3 linked regions of the Struthio camelus genome follow. The protein of the gene in region 2 purifies or fractionates together with the protein of the main gene of each other region. This does not show direct contact. Links are inferred from orthologs where the notes say so. Each region holds a gene or a part of one and is shown on either strand. Other genes may lie near its edges.

The links.
Region 1: the proteins of RYK (region 2) and PCDH7 purify together in Homo sapiens (affinity purification with mass spectrometry; 3 studies listed by BioGRID and IntAct, with this or other methods). This does not show direct contact. The link is inferred for Struthio camelus from reciprocal best matches to the Homo sapiens genes RYK and PCDH7.
Region 3: the proteins of RYK (region 2) and ADGRA3 purify together in Homo sapiens (affinity purification with mass spectrometry; 3 studies listed by BioGRID and IntAct, with this or other methods). This does not show direct contact. The link is inferred for Struthio camelus from reciprocal best matches to the Homo sapiens genes RYK and ADGRA3.

The regions. Positions count from the first base shown.
Region 1 is NC_090945.1:65,070,230-65,073,974, forward strand, and holds the start of PCDH7 (protocadherin-7), read right to left. Parts: upstream 2,338-3,745; 5' UTR 2,254-2,337; coding exon 1-2,253.
Region 2 is NC_090950.1:2,897,165-2,900,909, forward strand, and holds the start of RYK (tyrosine-protein kinase RYK), read right to left. Parts: upstream 2,213-3,745; coding exon 1,921-2,212; intron 1-1,920. UniProt on the Homo sapiens protein: May be a coreceptor along with FZD8 of Wnt proteins, such as WNT1, WNT3, WNT3A and WNT5A. Involved in neuron differentiation, axon guidance, corpus callosum establishment and neurite outgrowth.
Region 3 is NC_090945.1:68,050,554-68,054,298, reverse strand, and holds the start of ADGRA3 (adhesion G protein-coupled receptor A3), read right to left. Parts: upstream 2,673-3,745; coding exon 2,401-2,672; intron 1,998-2,400; exon of another isoform or gene 1,713-1,997; intron 1-1,712. UniProt on the Homo sapiens protein: Orphan receptor that may have a role in planar cell polarity pathway.

The sequences.
Region 1 (3,745 bases), on a different chromosome or scaffold from region 2:
GGGCGCGTTGTCGTTCTCGTCCATCACGAAGAGGGACACGGTGGCGGTGGCAGAGCGCGGCGGCTCGCCTCCGTCCACCGCCTTCACCTTGAAAGTGTAGCTGGTCTGCTGCTCCCGGTCGAAGGAGACGGTGGAGTAAATGGTGCCGGTGTCGTTCTCGATGGAGAAGATGCCGGCTGCCTGGTCGTGCTCGCCTGGCTGGATGGAGAGGCTGAGCTCGGCGTTGCGGCCCTTGTCGAAGTCCATCACGGTCACCATGCCCACGGGGCTGTTGGGCTGCAGGTTCTCCTTCACGTAGAAAGTGAACACGTCCTGCATGAAGCGCGGCTCGTTGTCGTTGCGGTCTGCCACCCGCACCACCACGGTGGTGGAGCCCTGCAGGGAAGGCACCCCCTTGTCCCGGGCCGTCACCTGGAACTCGTAGGTGTCGCGTTGCTCGCGGTCCAGCACCGCCTGCACCGACACGTCGCCCGAGTCCGGGTCGATGCTGAAGATGCCTCCTGGTGCCTCCGAGGAAAGGGGCGAGGGCTCCAGGGAGTAGGTGATCTCGGCGTTCTTGCCGCTGTCCGCGTCCGTGGCGACCACTGTGGCCACCCTCTCGCCGGGCAAGTTGTTCTCCGGGAAGGAGACCTCCAGCACGGCCTGGCTGAACACGGGAGGGTTGTCATTAGTGTCCCCGACCCGCACCAGCAAAGAGTTGTTGCTGGACAAGCTCGGGCTGCCCGAGTCCACAGCCACGATCACCACGTTGTAGTCGCGGACAGCCTCGTAGTCCAGAGGGGCCGAAGTGTGGAGGAAATACTTGCGCTTGTTCTGTGGCTCCCCCTCGCCCTCGCTGGCCGGCTTGAGCTGGAAGGGCACGTCTCCCACCACGGTGCAGGTCACCACGCCGTTCTCGCCCTGGTCCCGGTCCGACACCTGCACCAACGCGATAGGAGTATCCACCAGCACGTCCTCGGCCACGCTGGCCACCCCGTCCCGCAGCGGGATGCGCCCGATTTTACGGATGTCGATGGTGGGCACGTTGTCGTTCTCGTCGCGGATGTTTAGCACTACCGTGGCCTTGTCTGTCTTGGGGGGCTGGCCCCGGTCCCGGGCCATGACGGTGAAGCGAAGCTGGTTCACCTCCTCGCGGTCGATGCGGTGCAAGACGCTGAGCCAGCCCGAGGTCTCGTCCAGCCGCAGCAGGCGCCTCACGGACTCGGTGGCCGCCCCGAAGACGTACTCGATCTGCCCGTTTACCCCCACGTCCAGGTCTGCGGCTCGAAGCTGCAGGATGGGGGTCCCGGGACTGCTGTTCTCCGCCAGGTCCGCCTCGTAGACGCTCTTCTCGAAGCGGGGGCTGTTGTCGTTCACGTCGGTGATCAGCACCCTCAGGATAGCCTGCGAGGAGCGGGCCGGGTCGCCGCCATCCCGTACGCGGAGGCTTAGCTCGTAGGAGTCCCGCTGCTCCCGGTCCAGCGCCCCCTTGACGATCAGCTGCGGCTGCTTCTCCCCGTCGAGGGTATCGGCTACCTGCAGCTCGAACACGCTGCTCCGGGCCGCCCCGTCCGCCTCCTGCCTCCGCTTGCTGCCGCCGGGGTAGAGGGCGCTCTCGGCGGCCACGGAAGCCGCCCCCCCGCCGCCGCCGCCGCCGCCGCCCCCGCCGCCCCCGCCGCCGCCGCGCCGGCCCCCGTCCCCGCCGGGCTCCTGCAGCAGCTCGTAGCGCTCGATGCCGTTGCGGCCAAAGTCCCTGTCGGTGGCGGTGGGAAGCAGGTAGAGGGTCCCCACGGGCCGGTTCTCCTCCACGGTAAGCGTGAGGACAGGGGAAGGGAAGGTAGGGGTGTTGTCGTTGATGTCCAGGATGATGACCCGGCCCTCGAAGAGGTCCACCCAGCTCTGCGAGGGGCCGATGACCGACACCTCGAAGTCTAGGAAGCACTCGTTCTCGTCGAAGATCATCTGGCACTGCGGCAGCTTCTCGCGGTCGATGCGCCGCTCCGTGGTGCTCAGCTCCCCGGTCATGTTATCGATCTTGAGGTAGTCGGAGCCCGATTCCAGGCTGAATGTCACCTCTCCGGAGCCCGTCACGATACCCAGGTCGGAAGCCACGTTGCCGATGCGGATGTCGGCGGGTCCCTCCTCGGCCAGCCTGTACCTCAGGAGCTGCTTGGCCGCTGCTAGGCTGACCCAGAGCGGCGGAGGCAGGAGGAGCAAGAAGCAGCAGCAGCAGCAGCAATGTACAAAGCCAAGGAGAGTCCGCATCTTCCTCATCTTCTTCGCACCGAAAACCCCCCTCCTCTCAGTCCCACCCGCCCCTCAGTAAACTCCCCTGATAAGCCAACAGAAAGGCGTCCGGATGATCAATTATAAAATCCTTCTGTTCCTGGAAACTTACTGTCTCATGGCTGCTGCAATTGGTGGTCAAAACCCTGCTGTTGGCTCCTCTGCTGTTCTCCCTGCCTTCCAGTTGCGATATACTTACAGTTCACGGGACAGTGTATTTTGCTTTTTAAAGATTCATCTCAGCAGATAGGATGGGATTTTCCTCCTCCTCCCCCTTCTCCTCCTCCTCCTCTCTGATTTTACTGTAATCACTTTGCAAGGTTTGCAATAAAAGCAGGAGCAGAACTGTGCGATTTGAAGCCCCCCAGGTCGTCTTCTTCGACACTAGAGTTAACTACAATTCACACACTCTCTCTTTTCTCTCTCTCTCTCTCTCTCTCTCGCTCTCTCGCTCTCGCTCTCTCTCAGCCGTTTACGACCAAGGCATTAGCTTTATTCTTCCCCCTCTCTGCACACACAGGAAAAAAATGTGATTCGCTTTATTCAAAGGGCTTGTGTCCGGGAAAACTCCAAATCCTCTTAGCAATGGGCAGTTCTTTAAAAAATTAATAATAATTTAAAAAGATTAAAAAAAATTAAAAATCCCAATAATGTCGGTAGCTGTACAACTGATAGGAGAAGAACCCCGTGTATTACAGAGCAGTCCATAGACTATCCCCTTCGGTTGGCAGAAAAGCACCCAAATCCATCTTCAGAGATCGCCTAAAATGTTCACCTCTTTCTCCGGAGAGGATTTTTTTAACAACTCTGCGCAAGGTCATTAGTCACAAAGCAACGATACAGAAACTGCAGAAGCCGTTTGCCCACAATTTGCAAGGCTGTAGATATGAACATACACAACAGTCCCAAGTTTGTTTTTGCATCCGCAGTTTGTGTGTGTGCCTTACCTGCATTTGTACTGCATGTGTTATAGCAATCTGGATCTGCAGCACTGAGAGCGATTCACAAATGAGATTGCAGTCTCTCTCTCGCTCTCTCTCTCTTTCTCGCTCTCTCTCGCCTCTTCCTTCCCGTCCCAATGCAGGTAACCAGATCTGAACTTGATCCTTTCAGTTCAAAGGTTAGCAACAAGACTGTGTTGTCCAAAGGCGATTATTGGTCTCTCGTTAATATACCCGGAGCGGAACAAGATGTAACTGGATCCCCCACGTGAATTAACACAGATTCTGAATTACATCCATATAAGCGGAATGGCAAAGGGGAGGGGAAAAGAGCCGCGACGCGGTTAAAAAATGCACAGAGTTCTATTTGCAAATAAAATGATATCAGTCAGTTGTTTCCTCTGATCTGCACCGCCACGGTGGGTGAAATCTGCAATTGTGTATTCCCTCCTGTGTCTTTCAGAGAAGTGTGGCTCAGGCGCTTTCACGGCAAAGCGGCTTGTGCTTTAAAATGTTGAATGGCAACTGAGAAGCTTCCC
Region 2 (3,745 bases):
TATACTCAGATTTATCCAAGCATTTGAGGACACAGAAGAGATTGCTAAGAGTCATATACTTTACATGACATAGAATAGCTCTGGACATCTTTGGTAAGCGACTTTAGCCTCACTAGCAATACCACCCTTAAGAGAGATTAAGAGATGCAATTTAACTTAAAAACAAAAATGACCACAAAACAAAAAAGCTTGTCTTCCTTAGGTTCTATTGAATGATTAATAATTATGCTAGTGAACCACAAAAGTCTGAGCAAGTTCAACTCGTACTCATTTCAGTCGTCAGACTCAGGAGAGTTCAAGCCTTACTATTCAGTATTTCAAAGATTAATTAGTTGTTTAGAAACCCAGCTAAACAGCAAGACTTTTTTTTTCCCCCTCAAATCCCGCATCTGTAATAGAGCATCTGGCAGTTAAGCACACACAATGTAAAAATGATGACAATAGAATGCTAATCGCCAGCGCAAGCCATAAGGGAGAAAACGTTTACAGAGTTATTCACGCTCTGGGTCCCCTGACTTCAGTCAGCTATGTGCTTACAGAGATCAGATTAACTGGAGACATTTTTATTTTGTCTATTTGATGCAAATAAAGTCTTGTGCTGTTAGAAGATTTCGTTTCCAGCTTACACAGATATAGAAGGACGCTTACTAGAGGCCAGATCACTAGGGATACTGACGTATTTGTTTTGAGACTCTAGCAATCAACTCTAAACAAGATCCTAAGCAAGTCAAAGTCTAGAGAAAACAAATCTTTGTTTAAACCAGAGACTCTCCAAGAGCAAAACTGCTATGAGAGTCTTCTGTGCTGGGCCAGGTGGTAGACCGCATAGGACTGTCTCTGAATACTTGCGCAGCAATTATCAGCCTCCCTGGAAATTATGATTCCTTTCACACACGCTCCCAATTATTGCCAGGTCTCCTCTCTGCCCTCTGAATGTCACTCCCCTCACTAATTAAATCACAGGCCTGAACTCATCTCTCCTAGGGCTTACGCTGCTCCTGCAGCACAATATTCCCAGTCACTTGAACCTGGAGAAGTACTCACTATTACGGTAGGAAAAAAATAAACAAACAAAAAAACAGGACACTTTTCTTCCCCTAAAATCCCATACACATATACATGGCTGGACACAGAGAGTCCCTTCAGTGCCTTCAGACTCCTCCATTCCCCCCATGCCTTCCTCATGATCCCCTCAGTCCCCCCACGCTGGTCCTACAAAGCAATCCCCATCCTCTCCTGGGCCCCCACATTCACCCACCTCCACCCCAGCCCCACAGACACCCACCCCATCCTCTCCCAAGCCCCCACGTTCACCCACCTCCACCCCAGCCCCACAGACACCCACCCCATCCTCTCCCAAGCCCCCACGTTCACCCACCTCCACCCCAGCCCCACAGACACCCACCCCATCCTCTCCCAAGCCCCCACGTTCACCCACCTCCACCCCAGCCCCACAGACACCCACCCCATCCTCTCCCAAGCCCCCACGTTCACCCACCTCCACCCCAGCCCCACAGACACCCACCCCATCCTCTCCCAAGCCCCCACGCTCACCCACCTCCACCCCAGCCCCACAGACACCCACCCCATCCTCTCCCAAGCCCCCACGCTCACCCACCTCCACCCCAGCCCCACAGACCTCCCACCCCAGTCCCACTGAGCACCCCCCACGCCCTCTCAGGCCCCCGGACTGCCACCGCCACCCCCGTCCCCCTGACACCCCTCTCCTCTCCTGGACGCCTCGGCCGTCCCACCCCCTCCCGGGCCCCCACAACCAGCGCCAGGCCAGGCTCGCAGACCCCGGCCCCGCCTGCGCCCCCACCCGCAGCGCTGCCGCCGCGACCCCCGCCCGGCGGCTGCCACCCGGCCGCGGCCCCCCCACCCCGCCCGGGGCCTGGAGCGGCCCCAGCCCGCACTCACCGATCAGCCGGCGCACCTCCTCCTCGCTCAGGTAGAGGCTGAGGCTGGGACCGGGCCCAGCGGGGGGCCAGTGCGGGGGGCCCGCGGCGTGCGGGCCGGAGCTGGGGCTGGCCTGGCCCGCGGCGCCGGCGGGCAGCAGGAGCAGCAGCAGCGGCGGCAGGAGGCGGAGGAGATGGCGGTGCGGGCCCCGCACCCGGCGCGGCGGCCGCCGCTGCCCCGCGCCCGCCTCCGCCGGCGCTAAAGGGGGCCGGCCCCGCCGCCGCCGCCCCCCGCCCCGCCGCTCCGGCACCATCGCTCTGCGGCGAGGGGGCCCCCCCCGCCCCCAGCCCCGCCGACCCCTCACACGCCGCGGCGGCCCCCAGTCCCCGCCCCACCGCTCATGACTCCGCGCCCGCGGCGGCCGCTCGCGCCGCTTCCTCCGCGGCAGGACCCGCCCCGCGCCCCCCCCCGCGGCCCGCAGGCGGCGGCGGCGGCGGCGGCGGCGGCGGCGGCGGCGGCGGCGGCGGCGGCGGCGGCGGCGCCCACCCCTCCCCCACGCGGCACTCAGCCGACGATGGCGCGCAGGCGCACAGCCCTGCCCTCCCCGCGCCCCGCCCCCGGCCCCGCCCCCCGGGGCCGCCGGCCGCGGCGCTGGCAGCGGCCGTTTCGCGCCCGCCTCGGGGCGGGGCCGGCGCCGCCCTCCCGCGCTTCCCGGGGCCGCCACTTCAGAGCGGGCGGCGGGGGAGCTGCCTGGCCAGGCCGGCACCCTGCCCTGCCCGCGGGGCAGCGGGGCCGAGCCAGCAGCCGCCTGGCTCCGGCTGCTCAGTGGGCCGAGGGGCCGTGTGGCCCGCGCTGCCCGCGCCTGGGCCGAGGAGGCCTTCTCAGCCTCCTCCCTTAACTGCTGAGCGGTCCTGGCCCGCTGAACAGCTTTGAAACCCGTAGCGAATCCGTTTCTGTTCCTGTGCCAACCCCCATGGTTGATAAATCAAGGATCTTCATGTCCAGTGTCTGCTTTGGGCGATTTCTAAGGCCTTGCGGAGAGGGTTCTGGTTTCGTGCTTTCTGGATGGTTCTCGTTCCATCCGGGCTGCTTTAATTTTTGGAAGCGCCTCTGCTTCCTTTGTGCTTCATCAGCAATACCACTTCTCAGCTTCTCTCCAGCATAATCTGATGGCCGCATTGTCCTTACCTGACACATGTCTAAATTTACCCAAATGCTAACAGAGACATTCGAGCATCAGGTTACATCACCCCCATATGTCAGGATGAAATCATGCATAGGTACATGTGTGGGAAGGGGGCAAATACTTGTGGGGAGGGCAGCTTGTGTGACTAGAATGCTGCAACGGATGGATACAGGCTCTTTAGGAAGGACAGGCCAGGAAGGAGAGCAGGGGGAGTCGCCCTTTATGTGAGGGAGCAGCTGGAATGTATGGAGCTCTGCCTAGGGGTGGGTGATGGGCTGACTGAGAGCTTATGGGTGAGGATGAAGGGGCAGGCCAGTATGGGTAACGCTGTTGTGGTTGTTTGCTATGGGCCGCCTGATCAGGAAGAAGATGAGGCCTTCTACAGACAGCTGGAAGTAGCCCCATGTTCGCAAGCCCTGGTCCTCATGGGGGACTTTAAGCACCCCAATATCTGCTGGAGGGACAACACAGCAGGGCACAAGCAATCCAGGAGGTTCCTGAGGAGCATCAATGACAACTTCCTGGCAGAGGTGACAGAGGAGCCAACGAGGAGAGGTGCTCTGCTGTACGTCATACTTATGAAGAAGGAAGGGCTGGTTGGGGATGTGAGGGTCGGGAGCAGCCGTGGCTGCAGTGACCAGGAGATGGTGGAGTTGAGGA
Region 3 (3,745 bases), on a different chromosome or scaffold from region 2:
AGTGAGTGCAATGGAAGATCCCAAACCACAACAGGTATTCTGTCCGTTATCTTAGAGGAAAAGAAAAAAAAAAAAAGCATTTAATAATTTTCACCTTATATTTAAATCAAATTTCAAAGAGTGTGTTCACATCAATTGCATCAATACAATTATGACAGTTTCTACACATAATGAAAAATCTCATTCTGTTTCTTGCTATGTCTATCAGAAAGTTTAACAGTATGTATTTAAGGGAAAAATGTTTCAGAAGTTACCATAAACTTCAAAGGCCAGCTAAAAGCAAAAGCAACTAATTAGTGCACGTGGGTATGCTCTCAATGATGAAGAGGTATGAAGAATCAAGATGAAAGAGGAACCATTCTTCCAAATTCTTCTCTCACTACAGTTGCAAACAAAAGTCCATTCAGAGCAAGGCTGCGGTATTTGATATCTGCTTGTCTTCCACAGAAATCACAGCTGTGGCTCCAAGCTTTTTGAACCAAAAGATAGAGTCAGCTTCAGCAATTCCCAGAGTCTAACATGCACTTTTAAGCTAAATTGTAACAGATAATACTATATTTCAATAGTTAGATCAACCAGATGCAAAACACTGTTTAGGAGTTAGGTAAGTTTAACAAAGGCTAAATAAGCCTGTTGATTAAACATTTGTCTTTACTTTTTGCTTTCTTTTCTACTTTGGAAACTTCACACGTGAATATTTCTGATCATTTCTCACATGCCCCTTAAAAATATTCTCTGAAACCCTGCACATTTGCAAGCTGAGAATTACTGTTTTAGTCTGAATCACCTCCCATTTTTTTGGTTTTCTCTTTTCTCATGGGTCTAGGTCCGTGCATCTGCTGCTGACTGGCATCCATACTTCACTGTCAATTGCCAAGGAAGCCTTTATTTGGTGTTTCGGTGGCATCAAAGTTCACAAACGCAACAGTCAAATTGCTGTTGTCGTGACAGAACTGTATAGACATTTGGCGCTCCTTAAACTCAAATTATTTGGTTTCAAAAAAGAGCTGTAAACTTCTACCCTTAGAAAAAGATTCTCACCCTGTGATTTCCAGACAAATAGATAAATATGTTTAAGCTATACCCCATAGGTCAGCTTATTTTCATCGATTTTTCTTGCAAGCTACTTGGATGCACTTGTGTCTTCCCATAGTAGTATGGGCACCTTAGGCTCTCTAAAGGAAGAAGGATTTCACTTTTGGGGCCATCCACAAAAAAAAAAAAAAAAGAAAAGAAAAGAAACAGTGTTGCTGTATAACTTCTTTGCTAGAGTGTTCAGTTAATGTCACAACTTCCAAATCGTCTGTCTACACGCACATGCCGAAGTTTAAGTAACAGCAATAAACTTACTTTGGAATATGCTACATATCCGGTTTGAAACCTGTTATTTAAATGCAAGGGCTATGATTAACTAAATATAAAATAAACCACACCTACTCTTAAGGAAAAGTAAATTGACCTTTTTTTAAGGATGACACAAAGTAAATCCCCTTAGCTGTTGTATCATGCACTGCAATGAACAAGTTGTTGTTTGTCACTGTCAGGCTTCAAACATACCTAACCTACCACACACCGAATGGCCGCACGACCTATTCATACGTGGTCCATCACAACTGCCCCAAGATAAGGTATCCTAAAGCTGAGCTCCTCCTGAAATAAAGCTCAAAAACAACCTCCAGCAAGTTCTAGGGACCGCTGGACCGGCCGCTTACCTTAGGGAAAGGGCACCCAAGGCTCTAACCACGCAGTAACTGCAGTCTTTATCAACATGCTTAATTACTTCGCAGGATTGATCGAGGTGAAAAGTGTGAAAAGAGAGCAGAAGTCGCCTCGGTGGTCTGGCACACGAGTGGGGGGGAGGAGGTTACTTGTTTGACTCCTGTACGTGCGGAGACATCCCGCGGCGGGGCAGCCCGGCGGCCGACGCCGGGCAGACGCAACGCGGCCGCAGAGCGCGGCCCGCCCGCCGGAGCGCCCGTTGGCCCGCAGGGGCCGGCGGGAGGGGGCGGGGCCGCGCGCGCCCCCGCCGGCCGCCCGGCCCGACCGCGCCGCGGTACCGCCGCGCCGGTGAGTAACGCCGAGCTTGTTTACTTTTACGGCGCAGGCACGGCTCATTACGGTAATAAAGCTGGACGTCTCACACAGCCCTCCACAAATCACTTTTCGCCTCAAAATTACTATACCGGAAGGCTAAACAAGAACACAAAACCAACACAAAAACCACTTCCCGGGACGTCCCCCCCCCCACCCGCGCCAGGCGGGCGGCCTCCCGTTGGGGCTGACCCCACGTAACCCCCCCGCGGGCACGGCCGGCACCGTCCGGGCAGGCCGGCTGCCCGCTCCCCTCCCTTCCCCTGTCCACGTCGCACCAAGGCCGCGCCGCCGCCGGCCCCTACTCACAGGGTGACCGTCCGGTTGGGCAGCGCCTCGGCAGGCAGGACCTGAGCCAGCTCCAGGTTGCTGCAAACCACCTTCACCTCCACGGGGCCGCCAGCGCCCGCCACCGACTTGCCGCCGCTCTTGGGGCGCCCGTCGTACTTACAGCCGGGGGGCAGCGCGCCGCCGCCGCCGCCGCCCAGCGCGGCCAGGAGCAGCAGCGCGGGCAGCAGCCGCGGCGGGCGGCGGCGGGGACGCGGCGGGCGGCAGGAGGAGCGGCGGCCGGCGGGCGGCATGGCGGGAGCCAGCCAGGCGCTCAGGGCCCCGCTCCGCCCCTGCCGGAGGCGCCGCGGACCGCCGGGACCGGGCGGGCGAGAAGGGGGGGGATGCGCTTCCCCGTGGCCTAGCGCGGGCCGGAGCTCCGCGGGGGCGGCGACGCCGCCGCCATGTGGTGCCGGGGGGCGGCGAGCCGCGGGCGGACGGGCAGAAGCCGCAGCCGCCGCATCCGCCCTCCTCTTTGTGTCGGGCCGGGCGGGCTGCGCGCGGCCGCACCAGCGCCGCCTGCCGCCGCCGCCGGAGCCAGGGCAGCGCGCCCCGCGGGCGCCCGCCGCCACTGCGCAAGCGCCGGAGCCGCGGCGGCTCCCAGCGCGCCTGCGCGGCGCCGCGTGAGGCGGGGGCGGCGGCGGGGAGGTGCTGCTGCCCGGTGGAGAGGGGCGGCGGTGCCGCCTCGGCGGAGGGAAGGCGGCAGCTTCCCGCAAGGGACCGCTGGTGCTTTGCGGAGGAGGAGCCGGGTCCTCCCGAAGGGGCTGCCGCGTTCCCCCGCCCGGCGGCCGTTGGGAGGTGGGGGCGGCGGCGGCTGCGCCGGGCAGCGCCGGCCGCCGGGGCTCTTTGTCCTGCCGGTTGCCCGCTGTCCTCCGGCTGGTCGCGGGTATCGCTAACGCCTCGTGTCAGAGCATAGGCCCCTCTGCAGCTGGGCCGTGGCCCCCTGCAGAAGGTAAGGCAGAGCCGCTTGGCTTTACCTGCAGTCTGCTCGCACACCTCCTCCCCCCCCCCCCCGGTCTTTTCCCTTATGGAAGGGCAGTTGCCACTTCGTGGAGAAAGGATAATTGCTTGTCTAAGGGCCTACGTGGCCCTTGGTACCGTAACACTGAGCAGCTCGCTCTTAAGACCATTGTGCGCATGCTATCCCTGTGAAGGAAGCCAATCCTGTTATTCCCATTTTACATCTGAAAAGCTAAAGGATGGAAAAAGCAATTTCAATATCATAAATCTCAAATGTTAGAAAGAAAGAACCCACCCTCCAGGTTTCTTTCCTTGCACACTTAGGACTGCTTTTTCTGGGTGTAGTCAATGTCGTGTTTTCATGTTT